Linked DNA regions of Notamacropus eugenii. The protein of the gene in region 1 purifies or fractionates together with the protein of each later gene. This does not show direct contact. Links are inferred from orthologs where the notes say so. Each region holds a gene or a part of one and is shown on either strand. Other genes may lie near its edges.

Region 1 (9,874 bases):
TCTTGTGGGTTCACAGGGCAGCAGCCAACCAGTCATCTGTTTCATTACCTCATGCTGTTCATTGCTTTTGATAACACAGGACTGCTTTGTAGTGAGGGAGGTGGAGAGCTAAGGAATGGTACCAGGAGAAATGGAGAGAAGAGTGATAATGAGTCAATTCTTGCGCCTCTCTTTCTCCCTCCCACCCCCATCCCATGATTCAGAAGGTAGACACCTTTGAAATAAATGGTATGGGCACCTAAAGGAAGGTTAACATTTGATGACTGCATTAGAAATACCCTTGTGTAACCTACCTTTCTGAGCACATTTCATATTACTCCATTTCATTCACTCTAATGTCAAACCAAACTGAATTTCTTGCTGTCATTCACCTAAAACATCACTCCATCTCCCATCCCTTTTTATCTATCCCCTTATGACCAGAATATACTCTGTCCTCACTTCCACTTCTTAGAATCCCTGGGCAAATCAATAAGCATTTATTAAGCATCTAAGTGCCAGATACTGAAAAGCAAAAGACAGTCCCTGCTCTCAAAGATCTCATGGTCAAAGTTGGTATATTTACAGATACCTGAGGCAGATATCTGTACTTAGAGAGAGTACTGAGCCTAAAATCAATAAAACAGTTCAAATCTGGTCTCAAAGACTAGTTGCGTGCAAGTCATTAACCTCTGTCTGCCTCAGTTGTCTCAACTCTAAAATGGGAATAATAGTACCTCCCTCCCACAGTGGTGATCCTCAGATGCCTGGAACATAGCTGATACATAATAAGTGTTTGGTTCCTTCCCTGTGTACAAACAAAATATAGACAGGATAAATTCTAGATAATCACAGAAGGAAGACACAATCATTGAAGGGGGGGCAGGAGATGCTCCTTGCCAAGGTGAGATCTTAGCATATTCCCAACGATGGGCTTGAAGGAAGTCAAAGGAGCCAGAAGATGGAAATGGAGGAGGGAGAGAATTCTTAGTTTTCTTTGAAGTTCAAAATTCAGCTCTAATGCCACTTCCTGTAGGAGACCTTTCCTGATTTCTCCAGCTGCCTATGCCTCCTCCCCTAAATCATGCTGTATTTATTTCATATCAAGATCTCCTGTATACGTATTGTCTCCTCCCTTCCCACCTCTTCTCTCCCACCCCCTAAACCCCCAAAAAAGCTCTCTGAGAGCAGGAGGTCTTTCTTTTTTTTCTTTTTATCCCTAGCATCTAGCCTAGGGTTTGGCACCTAGCAATAAATACTTCTTGATGGATTGATAATCAAAACTAACAAGAAAAACAGTCTGCTGCCAAACAAGACAAAGTAAAAATTACTTTTTTTAGTTTTTTCTCTTAGACTAGAACTCAGAGAACAAAATAGAGAAAAGAAAAACACATCATAAACTTAGAAAAAAGCATGTTATGTGCACAACAAAACATAAGAGGTTTCAAAATCTATAGCAATAAATTTTCATTTTAAGAAAACCTGTATGATAAACACTACATGTTGTTTTGAGAGCTGTCCATCTTTTCTTTGCTTCCTTGTAAGTTTTCTTTTGTTCTCTGTGCACTTTTTACTTTGTTCTTTTTCCCTCCTTCCTACCCTCCCCCCAGGCTACAATTAAGTGAGAATATATTTATGTATAGACATACACATATATATACATACATACATACATACATACGTATATAGACATCTACTTTCCCTAACGAATTCTACACTGGATCTTTATTTTTATGTTTGTGTGTATCTCTTATTTCCTATCCCTCCTGACTCCTCCAGTTTCCTTCTACTTCCTACCTTGCCCTCCTGTTACTTAACCTAGTAAAATGACTTGTGATGAGATTATTATATATGTGGTGGGAATATCAAAATCTCTAAGGAATTTAAATGGCAATGGAATGACACATGGCAGGCACAAGTAGGTGGTAGCATATTTCCAATGGTAACCTAAAGCAAGAAACAGTGTAAGGGGTATCACTGATGAATCACACACTGAGAAAAGGCAGTGGGCCAGTCAGGTGACAGGGATGGCATCTCGTGTAGAACCGACGACAAATGGATTGACTGACAGAACTCGACTGGTACCCATAAAATGTGAAAAGACCTAAAAAAGGCTTCTAGAAGCTAATCCTCTGTGAAGGATCTATGGAAGGATTTGGCACATATTTGTTAAGCATCTCCTACATGCCAGGAACTGTGATCTTATCTATGGAATATTCTCTCTAACATATTCCTGTATAACTTGCCTTTCTGGACCACAACCCATACAAGTCTGCCTATCCTGTCCTATTCTTGTTCATGTCCTCTGCTACATTCAACACACAATGTACATCCAACAATCTAGGAAAGAGAAACACAACACAGTCCCTGACCTCAGAAAGCTTACTGGAAGAACACAGATAGGATGAGACAAGATGTACTCTAATGTCCTTCCAGTCGTGATCTAAGGCATGGATGGGTAGATATTCATGAGGAGAGGGAGTAATCACATGGATAACATCACAGTTCTATTGAAGTATATTTCACACAAGCATTCAAAATTTTTAAAAATGAGGGAAAGGGTAGCACTTAGAAGTTTTGCTGTACTTAAAGGGACACAAAATCCTCTAGATATCTAGTAGACCTAAAGCATAAGCTATGTCTACTAGAATATGACCTATCAATTACTATCTAGTGAATCCCTTCATTTTTAGCCACTAACAATCAGAAGCAGTGGTTGAAAAATAAATCCTCTCCCCTTTGCAGAGTTGAGGGACAAGGGAGGTAGAATACTGTATGTCAGGCACAAGTGATGCATTGATTTGTTTCGCTGAAATATTGTTTTTTCCCTTGTTTAAATTTTATTAGTTGAGATGGCTCACTGGATAGGGGAGAGGGAGGGATTTCTTCAGAAATGATGACAGCAATAAAAATAAGGATAAAAACAAACAATTAGTAAAACTGATCATGGTCAAGCCAATTGGATATTGCTCAAATATTCGGATGGATCTGTGATCTTCCAATAATGTATATATCATACCCCATTCATGCCATTCTGATCCACATCCATCCATCCATTCACCACTAGTCGTCCATTCAGCGTGCTGGGAACCTTTCTCTCTTTCTATGGACATCCTAAAGAAATATAATACTGCAGTACAGGGACTGTCCAACAAGATATTTTATCTTCTTATTCTCTTGTGCTTTTTTTTCATTTTATTTCACTTTTTTTCATTTGTAGAATGAGGACATCTGTAGTACCTATCTCAGAGGACAGTTGTGTTGTTGTGAAACTAGAATGTGATTAGGGTGTTCCAAAACTGTTAACACAGTTTTAGGCTATTAAGTGTGTGAGTATGTATATGCTTTAATACTTTACAAATCTTTAAAGTATCATATTAATATTAATTCTTATTTTACCATGTCTCTCTTCTTTATATTCTTGTTCCATCTGTCTATATAATAATAATAACAATAATTAACATTTAACATTTATATAGCCTTTTAAAAAATTCATTTTGTCATCATGACAACCTTGGAAGGTAGACGCTATTATTATCCCCATTTTACAAATTCAGGAATGAGGCAGATAAAGGTTAAGTCACTTGACCAGGATCACACAACTATTAACTATCTAAGGCAGGATCTGATTGTTTTTGAAAAGACAGGTTTGGAAGTGAATGGAAGGGACAGAGGAACGATTGTCCCCCAGAGAGAATTGATATATGTCTGTGGGATCTTGGGAGAACTTTGAACTGTTTAGGATGTACTTTGTATATTCCACCTTAGAGTTTGATATCTGTTGTCCTGTCACATTTTGGGAAGGGCTTCAGCCAATAGAATCAGGCTTTTGTGATATTAAAAAACACTTTGAGAAGGGGAGAGAGAGAGAGGGAGAGAGGGAGAGAGAGAGACAGAGAGAGAGAGAGAGAGAGAGAAAGAGAGAAAGAAAGAGAGTGTTCCACAGTGGGAAAAGCTGAAGGACAAGGGTAGATTTAGAGTTTATCAGACCTAGGTTGGAATCCCATCTCTACCATTTACCGTGGTGGTCTTGGGCAAGACATTTTGTCTCTAGGTTTCAGTTTCTTCATCTAACTGATCCCTTCTACCACTAAATCCATGATCCTGTTGACATATGAGTCAAATGTAGGGGATAGGTTTGGTATAGTGGGAACATCTTGTAGACATGAGAGACCCTGAAACGAATGTTAGATTCATTCCTTCCCTCAATTCATGTTGACTGAGAGATCACAAAGAGTTGAGTACTAGGTGACTGAAGAAATAGAGAACAGGCCTCAGCCCCTTACCATCTAACACGTCAGGATAAGAGATCCCGAAATAAAATGGCTATTGTTAGTCAGTAACATGAATATCACACAAGATATGTGTGAACACGAAGCCATTTCCGTACTTTCAGTTTATTAAGGAAGGCCACCTGAAAGATGTGAAACAAGAGAGCTTTCTGAAATACAAAGAAAAGGGAAGAGAGGACAGGAAGAGTTGGAAAAAGTTGTTGGGTTAGGGGAACCCAGTGAATGGCCCACAGATAGTTTAGCAGGGGTGGGGGACCTTCGGCCTCGAGGCCACTTGTGGCCCTCTAGGTCCTCAAGGGCGACCCTTTGACTGACTCCGAAGGTTCCCCACCCCTGGATGAGAGGAACAGACTGATAAAGCAAGGGCAGAATCTGACAAAACACCATTGGATTATAGGGTAGAACTAGAAGAGAACTCGGAAGCCCTAGTCCTGATTCACAGAAGAGAAAGCTCAGGCTCAGAGAGGTTAAGCCGTTTGTCCACTGTCACACGGGGGAAGGATTTTAATCCAGGCTCTCTGATTCATTTTCACGAATGCTAGAATTTCTCCGTGTGGGGACTGACTACTTTTACATGGTAGGTGGTAAAGGTAGGACAGCGCTGGCCAAGTTTGCCACAAGGCAGGAGGAGTGAGGATGGCATGTGGGGAAAACTGGATTTCGTGGAAGCGCATCCAGATGTGTAGTCTAGACGACTGCAGTCACAGGCTCAGACACCAAGCCAGGACAAGGGAAGCCTTGCTTGCAGCTTCTCTCACTTATCTAGATGAAGAAAGTGGAGGACAGAGCCAAGGCTAATGAGGTCAATTCCAGCCCGAGGGTTGGCCCCCACATGAAGGTCGGCCCCGGAGGTCTCGCCATGTGGCCCAAGTCCCAAAGAACTAGGCCAGTGACCCCAGGGCTAGAGCCCCACGGGTCCTGGCACCCGGCTTGGCTGGGGAGCCAAGGGAACCCAGGCGTCCTGCGCCCCGCCTCCCGGCTCGCTGTTTCCGGGGCAGCGCGGTTACCTGCATTACCGCGGCAGCACCTGGCGGAGGCGGGGGCAGAGGGAGAGTCGCTGCCGTGACCGCCGCAGAAACCGGAGGAGGGCAGCGAGGCGGGAGAGCCGCGCGGAGGACGGCAGCCCGGAGGACAGGCAGCCCGGAGCCCGGAGTGCCCGGGGCGGCTGGCGCCCGCTCTCAGCTCCGGCGCTAGCGCCCGCGCCCGCTCCGCGCGGCCGGAGCCGGGGAGCCCGCGGCTGGCGAGCGGCTCCCTCCTCCCCTCCGCACCCCCGCCCCGCTCCACTTCCACACGCGCGCACGCTCTGCACCGCTTCGCCTGCCGGGGAGCCGAGCGGCACATGGGCGAGGGAGGCAGAGGACTGCGGTGAGCAGAGAGCGAGGAGGCGGAGCGGAGCCCCGGGCCGGGCCGGGGCCGCAGGGCCGAATGGACAGCGCCGCAGCCCGCACCCGTTAGCGCCGCCCCCTCCCGGTCCCCCCTCGGCGCCCCGTGCCCGCGTGCCGGTGCCGGCTGCGCCCCGGCCAGCCCGGCCTCAGCCCGCCCCCGCCCCCCGCCCCCGCCGCCCCGGGCTGTGCCGCAGGAGCGGGCGCGCTGCCCTTGGGCCGGAGCCACCGCGGCCGCCGCTCCCCCCGCCGCGCCCGGCCATGGGGCCCCCGCTGCTGCATGGGCCCGAACAGCCCCGCCGGCGCCGCTGAGCCCCGGGCCCCCCCAGCCGGGAGCTGCATGGGGGAGCGCGGACCGGCTCGGGAAGATGCCGAGGAAGGAGCTGCCCCTGCCGGAGGGCTGGGAGGAGGCCCGGGACTTTGATGGCAAGGTTTACTACATCGACCACACCAGTCGCACTACCAGCTGGATCGACCCGCGGGACAGGTAGGACGTGGGAGGCGGCGGGAGAATCGCCCTCCCTCCGCCCTGGGGGCCCTCCCGGTGGCACCCCTCCTGCCCCCTCCAGTCCCACTCGGTGGGGGAAGGGGAGGAGGCCGCCCGAGGGTGGGGTGACTCGAGGCTGGGGTATCCGAGGGGCAGGTGTCAGACTTCCTTTTCGCAGAGCACCCTAGAGCTGCAGGAGACTTCAGGGATCAGCCAGCCCAGCCCTTTCTTTTATCGATAAGATTGGTGCCTTTAAAAATGTGCTTTGATGTTTTGGCGGGTGCCTGTATTGGGGGCGGGGGCGGGGCAGGGCTTCCACCATCTTCTTGGCCAAGCACCTGCTCCTGAGAGCCCTCCCTGGTTTCCCAAGACTTAGGGGATGCTCAGATGTCTGGGGTGGCTACTGACAATTTCCAGTGAAGGGGAAAACTCCGCTTCCCTCCTGCAGAGGAACTCTTCCACCTTAAGAGTTGAAAGGGGTCACTGTTGGGGGGTCTTAACTGTCCTAGACCTCGCGGAGGCCACTCACTTCACAAGCTTTTACACACACTCCTCCCATCTTCCAGACGGTAGGGCAAGGAGCTTCTTCCTACAAGGAAACATCAGTGAGTGCACCTGTTTGAACTACAGGGCCTTTTCTCGGAAAGTAACTAGTTGTTGTTCAAGAATGCCCCCACCAGTCTTGTCCCATTATTTTCCCCTGCCCCCAGAACTACCTGAGCAAGTAAAAAGGTAAGACTTGGAGAAAAAAAGGAGAGATTGGACAGACTAGATGTCCTTAGGAATACAACAGGGCCTTTTAGAGCTAGAGTTTCTAAAGAGTGTGGTTCCCCAACATCTGGGAAATATGAGTGTTTGGAGGAGTGGGGCCTAGGAAAAAGTCAGTACCCAGAGGAAGTAGATGGATAAGGTATAGGTCTGGAAGGTGGTAAGGACTAAGAGAATACAAGGGAAAAGCAGGGATTGAGTCAGTAAAGAAGCCTTAGGCCTTAGGGAGCTGAGGTCTGTGCAGTTATCACACACTCAAGTGGCCATCAAAGGCTCCCATAAAGGAATTGGGGGGGGGGCAGGGGTATGGGGAGGCAACCAGTGAGCTGAAAGGAAGCAGAAATGACAGGAAGATGAGTGAGAGGGGAGGCTATGAGGGAGGGTGGGGAAACCCAGATAGCCTGCAACCTGGGCTGAGCAGCTTGGCTCACCAAGAATGTCACAGCTACTTGGAAGCTGTTATAATGTTAATGGAGGTGAGAGGCCTCTCTTGTACCCATTGTGACCATTTCCTCCTCCTCCTCTTTCTTCCCACTCTAGAACTTCTCACCCCATGCTTTTGCACTAGAAGGAGCAGGGATATATATGTCCTGGCCCTGGTGGGAACAATAATTCCCTCCTCCTCCGAGCAACACTCGGTGCTTATTTTTCTAAGGAGATATTTGTAAAGTGCTTGGAACAGTGTCTGACGCATAATAAGCGCTTAATAAAGTGCCTATTCTCTTACGTTCCCCTTTTTTGCTAAAAGGCAGATGATGAGAAGGCCCAAGGGGCTGCCCCTTCACTGTTCCCCACTTCTGAGAGTCCTGGCCAATCAGTGCGTTTTGGGTTCCAATTTCTCCAAAGTGGTCTTTGAAAGTATCCAATATGAAATGCCCTATCTACCTTTGGTATTATGGTCTACAAAGTACTAAGACCCATGGAGATGATATAGGTTGGATCCCTCATAGCTGGTATGAGTGCCCTGTGGCATTTAGGTACCTATAAAATGAAGTCCCTAGAAAGTCAGCTGAAAGGGGAAGGCACCAGGAATCCAAGACTCGATACTCTTTCACTGATGGCTATCCTGATGAATCCTTGCTCATTTCTTTCTTCTTAGCTTTCATAAGATCATAGGATCATAAATTTAGAACTGGAAGTCCTAAAGAGGTTAGGTGACTTGTCCAGGGTCACACAGCTAGTAAGTGTCTAAGAGAAGATCTGAACCCTGCTCTTCTGACTCCAAGTCCAATACTCTATTCACTGCCTCATGCTAGAAATTTGATATTTATTTCAAGTTCTATAGGATTCCTGATATAGAACTAGAAAGAACCTTAGACACCATCCAGCCCAACCCCCTCATTTTACAGATGAGAAGACTGAGGCCCAAGAGAGGTTAAATAACTTTTACGAGGTCACATAGGCCCTCTGATACCAGAGTCAGTACTCATTCCACTGTACCATACTGCATGGTCACACATACCAGTGACCCTGTTCTAGAATCATCAGACAGATCAGCTGTGCCCTCAGACTTTTCTTGCCATGGCCTCTCAGAAGAAGCCAAGGGCTCAAGATCTCAGAAACTTTCTTTTCCCCTGCCCACTTCTCAAAGGGAACCCTCTCCAGATCCACCTAAGCATCCACATGTATGTTCCTGGGTTTCCAGGGCATTGGGAATCCCTAAAGATTCAAACCCTAGTTGCTGCCCCTCCTTCTACACAAATATAAATATGCTCATTTGTTGAGGGGTTAAACTGGATAATCTCAAACTCTCTTCCAATTCTAACATCCTATTAGTTCTATAATCTCCACCCCTTGGAGGCCCTGATACAAAACATTTCCTCTGGCAGACTAGCCCCCTTGCTGATATGGATTGCTCAGTATTATGAGATGGAATTGGGTCTTATGATTTTTTGTGTAGATTCTAAGGATGCTGGCTTTAAGAATTTGGAATTGTGTTGATTCTGAATGTCATCTGATTTGGGAATGTGTGGAATTTAGGGAAGTAGTGTAGGGCAGGAGAAAGAACGCTACTTCTGAAGTCAGAAGTTGTTGTTGAGTCATTTCAGTCATGTCTGACTTTCTTTGTGACCCCATTTTGGAGTTTTCTTGGCAAAGATATTGAAGTGGTTTGCCGTTTCCTTCTCCAGCCCATTTTATCAATGAGAAACTGAGGCAAACAGGGTTAAGTGACTTGCACAGGGTCACACAGCAGAGGCCAGATTTGAACTTAGGAAGATGAGTCTGCTTGACTCCAGGCCTGTTATTCTATCCATTACCCCATCTGGCTGCCCTTGGAGTCAGAAGACCTGAGTTCAAATCCCACCTTTGGCATTTACTTCTTAGGTGACTTTGGACGAGTCACCTAACCTCAGTACATTTGTACAGTTTGTACAAATGTACATTAATACATCTGTAAAATGATGAGGGTTGGACTACAAAGCTACTGAGGACTCTTCCAGCTCTAAATCTGTGATCCTGTGATATGGGGGTGGGGTGGGGCAAGATACAATGGAAAGAGCATTGGTTCTGGGGTCAGAGGATCTGAATTTAAACCCTTCCCTGTGTGACTGGGACAGTCATTTTTACTTTCTTAGGCCTCAAGTTTCCTTATGTATAAAATGAGGGGGCTGGACTAGATGAAATCTCTTCCAACTCTAGGTCTCTTATCCTTTGACCTTTTCCTGATGACTTGCTTACCAGCAACTGTGTTCTAGTAGTGTATGCTATAGACAAATTACTTCCCCTTTCTGACTCTTCAGTTTCCTCACATGTAAAAAGAAAGGCTTTTGTGGTGGATGGGAAAGAATACTGGATTTGGAGTAAAAAGATCCAAAAAGATCCCAGCATTACCACTCAGCCATCTACATGAACTGGCACGTCATCTCGTGGCCTCAGTTTCCTCATCTGTAAAATGGACTGGGAAGAAGCTGGGCTAGATGCTTTCCAAGGTCCCTTCACAAAAGACTATAGTCTTTTAGTGATCA
Region 2 (9,674 bases), on another chromosome or scaffold:
CAGTTATGGACTCGACGACTGAATTTGTGAGGAGCCAGGGGTGCTGATTCCAGTGACAATCGGCATAGACTGGCAACAGATAATGAACTTAGAGCCAAGGGCAACCCGGGTCAAAAGAGACGGGGAAGAAAGGGACCCGGGCTGTTTGGCACTTTCTCCTCTTAGCAGACACTTTCAACTTTTAGATTTATCCAGTGCATTTGGAGTGAGGGTGGGGGGAAAAAAGGAGGAATAGAATGTTATAGTTGTTCCAGATGTTCATGGACTGATCGCCCTCCCCCCCCCCCCCCCACCTCCCATCCATAAATCAGTCATTCTTCAAGGCTGGGTGAGAGGTGCCCAGTGTGGTAGAGTGAAGGGCTCTGGGTGGAAGGGGCGTCTAGAGCCATGAGTTTGAATCCCACCAGGTACTTCCTTGCTGTGGGACATTGGACAAGTCATCCACCCACCTTATGCCTCAGTTTCCTCATCCTGTACCCTGGGAATGTTTCATACTTCTCACATTTGCCTTCAAGGAGTTGTGCTGGGAGGTTTAAACTAGCCAGTGCCCAAGCTGTGAGTGTCCAGCCCTGACTAACCAGGCAGCCTCCCTCATTCCAGAAGCTAGGACCACATCAGGTTAGGCTTGTGGCACCCATTTAGGGGACACACATTTGGAAGGCTCAGCTATGCTCTTGTCCAGTCTCCTCGAACAGCACCCTCATCAGGTTGCTATAAAGTAGTTTGAAATTGGATTTGGGGCAAAGGAGAGGTGGGGAGGGGCTCTTCACCTCTCTGTTATTTTTAGGACATCACTAAGACCATGACCATGGTTGTGGTCCCAGCCCAGCTCTGAGCCTCTGAGCCTGTTTCCCTCCCCCCACCCCCCCCTCCACCCCTCCACCCCCCGGCCCCAAGATATGTCCGATTGCCTTTTAGAGTTTTTCTTTGCTTGACTTGGGGGAGGGGAGGGGGAAGGGGAGGGCTGGCACACAAGCAGGCAGGGGAAAGGGGAGGTTATTGGGTGCCAATTTTAAAGGGTATAGCATTTCAGATCAGCTGGAAGAGAAGAGTTGGACTGACCAAATTGTGCATTTTCTAGGCAGCCTGGGACTCATTAATGGCCAGGTGCTTCTATGGAGTGGTTCCTTCCATTTCCAGCTGCTAACTCCTATTTTCAGCCCAAATCCAGAGCCTTGTATTCCATGCCTGTTGGGTGACCTCAACTACCATTTTCTGTACCTCTACTTTCCACAGACCTCTTTCTTTGGAGAAGTTACAGTATCAGTGGGAAGGTTCCTAGATTGGGGAGGGGGGGAGGGCATGGAAAGAATGCTAGGAGGGCATTTAATATGATTTCCTCATTTTACAGAGAAAAATACTGAGGCCCACAAACAGGGCAAGACTTAACCAAGGTCACACTTCAGTGAATGACGATTCTTGGTTACATGATCCAAATATGACATTCGAAGCCCCAGTGGAGAAAGTAACTGTTTTCTTTGAAGTGCATTCTCCGTATTGCTCAAACATGCTCTGGGCATGAGCCCATGAGAGCAGGGGTGTGAACACACACACACACGTGCACACACACATATATATACACACACACACACTTAAAAGAGCTCTGATTTAATACACAGGAAGGCACTGATTCCAACCCTTCATGCAGTTTTTTGTCTTTGTTTAAAAAAAACCAAAACCTGTCCTTTAGTGTAGAGACTAGTGTAGATACTCAGAGCATTGCCTGAGAGGTAGGAAAAAAAAGTGACCTGAGTGTGTCAGTGTGAGGACTAGAACCCAGGACTGAAGGACTCTAAGGAAATCTCTCCATCCATTAGGAAACACGGTCGTTTTTCCCACCTTCATTTCCTTAAATCTTTTGAAGACTTTCTACCTAACAGGTTGAAAATATCCCTTGTACCCTTTGAGTGTTGGGAGTATCTTGTGTTGCCCAGGTCTGTGGGATGACGCATGGAACTATTTCAACTTTTGACATCTTGTTTTTCTATTCTGCAGAGTTGAAGTTTTTTAAACAAAACCTAGTTGAAAATTTGGCGGGGAATGCTGTCTTTGAGGTTGGGGACTTTTTAAAGACTAAGATAGAAAATTCTTTTTTCTAGAATGGGATGAGCCCTCCCTGAGCCCAAAGGCAGGGGCATGGCCTAGCTGACCTCTTGATCCCGGACACATCAGCCTCTGTGCTTCCTTGCAGGGTCTGCTCATCCTTTAAAAGGGTGGCTTTATAATTCCTCAGCCCTTTCTTTCTGTCATTCCTCCACTTAGGAATGAGGCTTAGGGAAAAGTCCAGCTTTTGAAGGCATTCCCCCTGCCCCACCCCAATTTGGATGCAAGATGAGTTTCTCACATTTTTCCTTCCCCTTGGGTCTCTTCAGTTTCTCCCCAAGATCTGCAGTTCTGTGTCAAGGAGGGGGAGGCCGATCTTGAGGAGATGCAGAGAAATGCTTGCAGCCAGGTACCTTCCTCCATGGCGACTGAGCATTTGGAATGCACCCATCGAACCCAGTTGAAACCCATGGGAGTGATGGGGGGGGGGAGGTCTTTTAGAATGGTGACTGGGCAAATGTACCCAGGCTGCTGGGGCTGAGCATCTTCCCTCCCCCCCCTCATTCAGCTGCTGCCAAACAAGTGACTTGCTAAGTTACAAGGAGTTCCTGTCTGTTCTGAATGGAGGGTTCTCCCCCTTCTAACTGGTGTGTGTGTGTGTTTGTGTGTGTTTGTGTGTGTATGTGTGTGTGTGTGTGTGTGTGTGTGTGTTCCACCTTTGGCTCCGTTTCTTTTGCTTTCTGAATGTCTCTGAAATCAAGGGCTTCTTTCTCCACTCAGAGGTGCACGTTTCTCCCCCAAGGTCATCATGATGACCAAGTGAGAGGGTCTGGGTGAAAAGCGTTTGACAAACTTCTGAGTGCCTCTATATGTAGAGGGTTCTGTTATTGTTGGAAGAGTCAAATAACCAGGGTGGCCACAGGGTCAATGACCAGAGCAGCTGGATGTCCTAGGTTTGAATCCCACCTCAGGTGCTTAACTCAGTCTCAGTTTCCTCATCTGTAAAATGGAGATCTATCTCCCTGGGCTGTCCTAAGGGTCAGATGAGGCAATGTCAACTTTCTAGTCCTACTATTGAGGCCTCGAAGCAGTCCCCTCCCCCACCCATTCCTATTGATTCCTCTGTACCCTGAGAGAGGAGGAGAGCCATCTCCCTTGTCTGCTTCCCTCCCCCTTATGTTTTGGTGAAGATGAATACTGTAGACAGGCTAAAGTGAAGCCCATAGTACACTAGTGGGAGTGGGCCTTTGTGTGGAGGGGCCCTCGAGATGCCCCAACTCACCATTGAGGGGCCCCTGGCTTTGGGGAAGAATACACTGGGGCTTTGTCTAAAATAACCAGCTCCCTTTGAAAGAGCCTTGCTTTACACCAATTCAATTAAGCAGCAGCAGCAGCAGCCGCTGCCGCCACCGCCGCCAAAATGCTGCCTTTTCAGGGCCACATCTGGTATTGGGGGCCTACTTGGCAAAATTAGCAGCAGCCTAAAGGCTCTGGTCTAGGTGACCCAGCAAGATCCTGAGGCAAGCCTGCCACTCCCAAGTCAGGAACAAATGACCTTTGCTCCAGGGGTTCCCTGTGAGGGGAAACTGTGATGGCTCCCTGACCTTTTCTGGGAAGAAAAGAGACTCCATAGGTTGAGTGATTGAGAGCTGGGAGAAGCAGGGGAGGCTGTGAGGGAGGGGGGCACATGGCAGGGCTGCTGTGTTCCTTCTTCATAGAGGCCAGAGCATTGGGGTTCTAGCACTTCTGAGCCGACGTTCTTCCCCACGTTTTTACAGGGAGTGCAGGGTTTTGTGCCCACTGCAACAGAAGGACACCTCATTAGGCAATTACTGCCATGGATTCCCTATGTGACCTTGGACAAATCCCTTCCCCTTCCACAGCCTCAGTTTCTTCCTCTGTCAAAAGAAGGAGTTGGGATAGGCAACCTCGGAGCATCCCATTCTGAGCTCCTCCCTACCCTTCCCGTATGGGCCTCAAATTCCTGCTCTTGCAGTGTGAGGCTCGCTGGGAGTCTGGAAAAGAAGATGGGGTGGGGGAGGGGGGAAGAAGAGGGAGGGGGCAACGGAGGAAATGCTCCACCACCTCTCTCCTAGGCTGGCTGTCTCGGACAAGGATTAGGTTTGGTCTGTCTGACCCCAGAGGGAAAAACTGAGAGAGGAAGGGGAAGCTGGCTGTGAATCAGTGAGCATTTATTAAATGTTGCTTACTGTGTGCCTGGCACATTGGTACGTGCTGGAGAAACAGAAAAAGCACAGACTGGCCCCTGACCTCTGGGAGCTCATGCTGGACCGGAGGGGACATGTATACCTAGAGATCCAGGGATCCAGAGGGCATAGATGTAAGGTAACCTCAGAAGGGAAGGCTCCAGCAGCTGGGGCTGAGGAGTGGAGGGAGACGGAGACAGACAGTCAAATTTAGGCTTGCTGTCAGGAAAGTCTTCCTAATGCTGAGGGCTAGCCCAGAGTGGACGGGGCTGCCTACGAAGGAAATTCAGTTTCTCCTCTCTCCTCCATTTGTCTGGCCTATAGTGAAGGGACTGCTTCAGATCTGGCTTGGACTAGGTCGTTTCTGAGGCCCCTTGGGGTTCACACTCCGTGCCTCCATGGGGGTGGCCTTTTGCCAGCTGGTTTTCTGCTCGGGCCTCATGTGCTTTCCTGGGGTGGCCATTTAGGTGGAAAGGTAAAGCCTGGGGGAGATGGATGCTAATGATATTCCCTTTAATGCCTGTGCGTTCATTGCCTTTCAGTATCAGGTCTCTGAGGAGGCCTCCCTGTGCATGTGTGTGCCCGTGACGTGGGCCCAGTGCATCCTGTGTGGGATCTTGTGCGGCGGTGGTGTGTTCCGGGAGTGCTGACAGAGCGTTGGAGCTTTGGTGAGTTGGCCCCACTGCATTCTCTGCCTTTGAGGATGCTTATGTACCCGCCAGGCCATCGTTTTCTAGTTGCCCCACAGGGAAAGGCAAGGTTTGCGGTTTGCTCCTAAATCATCCGGCAGTGCTGCTTAGGGCAGGGTGTCATGACACCCTGTAAAGACAACCTCAGCCTGGGTGTGCCAGGAATGCTTCGGGAATGAGGGAGGCCCAGGAGGGAGGAGGGGGGGGGTGGGAAACACAAATCACTTTCTTTAATGACCTTGAGAATAATGGGACCTGTCGAAATGAGATTTAGCTACAGGAAAGAGACAAAGAACGGGAAAAGCACTTGGGCAAGCTTGGCAGGTACTAAGGGCCTCGAATCAGGGACCTCTGGGAGGGGAGGTTCAAGGCCGATTTGCCGTTGCCGCTCTTTGCTGCTTTTCAGGAATGAGCTTTTTTCTGGGATTCTGGCAGAGAGCCTGGGCTTGTGGTTGTGTGCTTGGGAGGTTGGGGCAGAGGGCAGCTGGCAGGGAGGCCTGCCTCCATGGATCAGGACATACCTGAGCTGCGAAAGGTAAAGTTGCTGTGACTGGGCTACCTGGGATTGGCTGAAGGGAGGAATGATGGGAGGAGCTTCCAGTGAGTGATGGAGTTTACCATCTTCAGCCTGGTGAGTGAGTGACCTGTCCCATCCAGGGCTAAGCCCTTGGCTTGGTTGGCTGGGTTGCCAGGCCTTCTGGGAACTCCTGACAGACTGGCACCCACTTCTAGCTATGGCTGAATAAAACCTCCATAGCAGTGAATTCTGGGATTGCCTTGCTGGAATGGGATGACCAGGACTCTGAGGTTTTGGGGAGAGTCTTGGACTCTGAAATATGAGGTCTTCAGTTCCAATCCCTGCTCTGTCAGTTGCCGCCTATATGACCTTTGGCAAGTGGCTTCATTACCCTGGGCCTCAGTTTCTTGCTCTGAAAAGGATCCCATTCTCTAAGGTCTTTTACATCTCTAACTCTAGGATCTCATGGTCATTAGAGTAGATAAGCTTACAGAGTGCAGACCTAGAGGCAGCTACATGTAGGCCAATGAGTCAAGCACTAGGTTTGGAGTCAAGACGACCTGAGTTCAAATCTTTCCCCAGATACTTATTATAACTGTGTGATCCTGGACAACTCACTCAACCTTTCTCAGTCTCAGTGTCTCCATCTGTAAAATGAGGACAATAATAGCCCCTACAACTGGGTCCCAGTTAGTGCAAATAATGATCATATGCTTTCAAATTCACACTATTCAAAGTTAAAATTTTTATAAAATATGGCATTTGGTTGTAGCCCAATAGAAAAGTGCAGTGGGAATTCAAGTGACCTGTTTGGGTGGAGGATTGAGAAAGACAGTAAATGGAATGTTTATAAATGGGAGCTATTATTTAAAAAAATATCTGCAAAGCCATTCCTTTGACATTGCTAGCTTTGAGATGGTGACTTGTCATCAACTCAGAAAGTGTTAATGTGGGGACTGGGCAGCATTTGAAGGTACATTCCCAAAGCCACCCTGATTTGCTATGTGGCCTGGGGTGACTCAAGTTCTCTGGGCCTGGCTTGCTCTTCTATGAAAAAAGAATGGGAAGGATTCATAGAGATTCTGAGGCTTCCAACAATCTGGGCCTCCATGTCCTCCTCTGGAAGAAGTACTTCTAAGATCTCCCTCTGAATCTATGATTCTTGATACACATCAGACTTAGTGATCTAGTGAAAAGGCTTTTAATAAAAAAAAATTGGATTGTAAATTTAGAGCCAGATCTCTGAGGTTTGTGAGCCCCACTCTCCCATTTTCCGGAGGAAAACACTGAGGCTGACAGAGGAATGTGAGTTACCCACAGTCACACTGGTGGCTGGAATTCTAACCCAGTCCCCCTGATCCCCCATTCAGCCTTACCACCTACTATCGTAGGGTGTCTTTTTAATGAAGTTGGCTTTTCTTCTGATCCTTCACCCCTTTCTTCTAGCTGATGTGCAATGCCCTGTGGCAGTCTGTAGCCAAAAGTGATGGTAGGTAGGATTGTCCAGCCCTGCTCTCTTGCCTAGCCCCTCCCCGCCCCCTCCCTCACAAGCAGGGGCTGTGAGGCCTCATCCCTTTAGGTGAATATCTTGCTTGATCCACAGGAGAGCTCCTTAAGAAACATCTTGCAGAGCAGTGAGGACTGGAATGTGCCCAATGAAGGTTTTAAAGCTTTTCAGCCTTGTCCAAAAGATTAAAGAAAGGGTGTGGGGGAAGGGAGATTCGCTAAGGGTGGCGGGGAGGGGCAAAAGTCAAGCTTTTAGAGGAAGATTTGCCTTATGTCACCTATTGATGGTAGCCAGGAACTGAGGCCTGCCTCACCACAACTGGCTTTTATCAGGGCTACCAGGAGCACACGCATTGCCATGCATGGCAAGCCGTCAAGGTGGACAAACCGAGAAGGAGGATTGGGTGTCTGTGCACCCCACTCTACCCACCCCACCCCCACCCCAGCATCTGGCCCACTCCCTGACTGCCATTCTTACACAACCCCCTGCCCCGAGAGCATGGAGCTTGACCCCCCCCCCCAACCCCAGTAAGGACAAATGATGCGCCAGAAGCAGTTTGCTCACTTTTCCTAAGGTCGCTAAGGCTGAGGCACGGAGAGGTGTTCCCCCAAAGCCCGTCTTCCCTGCACATGGTCCTCATTATCCCAGAGGCCTGGACTCCATCAGAGAAGGAGCCGAGAAACCCCAGGCCTTGGGGTGAGGGAGGAGAACATGTTTGGCATATTTGTGGGGAGGGGGTTGCTGACATCACAGAATGTAGTGGGATGAGTATTCCCAGGGACAGCGGTGAGACAGCCGAGGTTCTGGGGGTGCTCTGATTGTTTCCTTCCTTCTTTGCTTTCTTTAAAAAGACAGGAAAGAGACCATACAAATGTTGGCCAGGTCGGACACACTTTTCTGAAATTGTTTGGGGAGAGTCAAGTCTGAGACTGGCCCTTAGAAAACTCTGATGTGCCCTGCCCCCTTCCAATCCACTCAACTCCACTCATTTGGGCTATTTCCAAAGAGTAGAAATTTGTACTGAATTAGTGAGATTCCTTCTCCCCAAAGCCCAATCAAGATCTAAATCCCAGACTTGGGGGCCAGCATTGTGCCCTTGGTAGCAGAGATGAGCATGGATATATCTGTTTGGGAGAAATCTGATTTCCCTGTCATTCATTTGGCCTCTCTCTTCTGGCTTCCTTGCCCTCTCCTTCCTGGGACCTCACCGATGCCTGGTGGCTATGATGGACGGTGGCCCAGGCTGGTGGCTTGGCTGTCCAGAACACATCCAGTCAGCCACATAACATTTGAGGTTGACTCTATAAGACATTTGTGTTTCTGACCAGTCAGGTCATGGGGTGTTGGCAGCCCAATGGCAAGGTTCCTGGGCCATTGATATCCTTCTCTATATTATGGATTAGAGGGAAGGACAGTATACAGCTTGAGGTTTGTGGCCAAGGCCTGAGATGATAATTCTTGGTCTCCAGGTCCTTTTGGTGCTTTCCCGGATCAAGCAGGTGTTGGGATTCTTTGAGAGAGGAGAATGTTGGCTGAAAGATTTCCCTGTGCTTGAGGTGATTTCCGCCCAAGCTTCCCTGGGCAGGCCAAAGAGCCTGTGGAGTTGGATCAGGACAGGTAGTGGCAGGAAGGAAGGGAAGGGGTGGGAGGAACCAGTCTCCCTTTCCCTCCTCTTCTCTCCCTCCTCTCTTCTGCTCTGCCTCATCTCCTTGGGGAGTGACTCAGGCCCTTTGGTATGAACTTCTGGAACGCTGGCTTCCAGCCCTGCACCTGCTCCATGGCACACCTGTGCTCACCCAGTACCTGAGCCAAGGATTCAGCGTGGCAGAGTGAGTCCCTGAGTGTGTGCTGAGCCTTATTCCCCCCACCACCCTGGCCCTCACTCGGCCTCGAAGGCTGTGTGCTGACCTACTCTGCTCTCCTTGGAGGCCAGCCTCTTGGGAATCCTAGGGGAAGATTTGTCTGTTTATGAAGGACCCACAGACCAGAGCTGGGAGCCTTTGGAGTCCTGGTTCCCCACCTGTCCCACTTGGATAACTGAGGCAGACTCTGGTTTACAGGTAGAAATCCACCAGCCCCTTGGGTATACAGGGGACAAAACTAAGCCCAACGGGAAAGAGACTTTGCCCAAAGTTACACAAGGAACAGCATGGGGGCTTGAACCCAGCACCTCCAAACTAAGTTCTCCCTGGGTTTCAGTTGCCCTAGTTGTTAAGTAGGGAGAATGTGCCTGCCTTCTCTTCATGGGATGGATGTGAGGGAAAAATGAGCCCTGAGCCCTTCAGAAGAAAGTGGACCCTCTGAGAGTACAGTGAGCATGCATCTGGGCCTGGCCTAGCCTTGCCTCATCTAGGCTCTGTAACCTCTGGCTTCTGCCCCCTCCCCCTTCCCCCAGACTGCTGTGGCTGTGGCAAACATCTTGGGCCCAGTGCCTTTTCCCCATATGAAATGGCTGGCACCGGTACCTGGCTACATATACCACCCACACACATTGTACTGCTCAGCTCCCACTGGACCGCTTTGAGCTGGTCTGATCTAGTCTACAGATCTTCCTCTGGCTTGAAGCAAGTGCCACTGACCATTGAAGACAGGTTCCACTTAGCCCTTTGGCAAGTAAGGTGTGCCCACAGGTGTGACTGTGCTCACTATCCTCACTCTGCTCTGGATGCTCGCACACAGAATGTGCTTTGGAAACCCAGGGATTCTGACTT

Evidence for each region. The genes of interacting proteins can lie anywhere in the genome.
Region 2: the proteins of WWC1 (region 1) and AMOT purify together in Homo sapiens (affinity purification with mass spectrometry; 3 studies listed by BioGRID and IntAct, with this or other methods). This does not show direct contact. The link is inferred for Notamacropus eugenii from reciprocal best matches to the Homo sapiens genes WWC1 and AMOT.

The regions. Positions count from the first base shown.
Region 1 is NC_092872.1:399,337,260-399,347,133, forward strand, and holds the start of WWC1 (protein KIBRA), read left to right. Parts: upstream 1-5,865; 5' UTR 5,866-6,021; coding exon 6,022-6,140; intron 6,141-9,874. UniProt on the Homo sapiens protein: Regulator of the Hippo signaling pathway, also known as the Salvador-Warts-Hippo (SWH) pathway.
Region 2 is NC_092879.1:97,025,828-97,035,501, forward strand, and holds the start of AMOT (angiomotin), read left to right. Parts: upstream 1-4,809; 5' UTR 4,810-4,918; intron 4,919-9,674.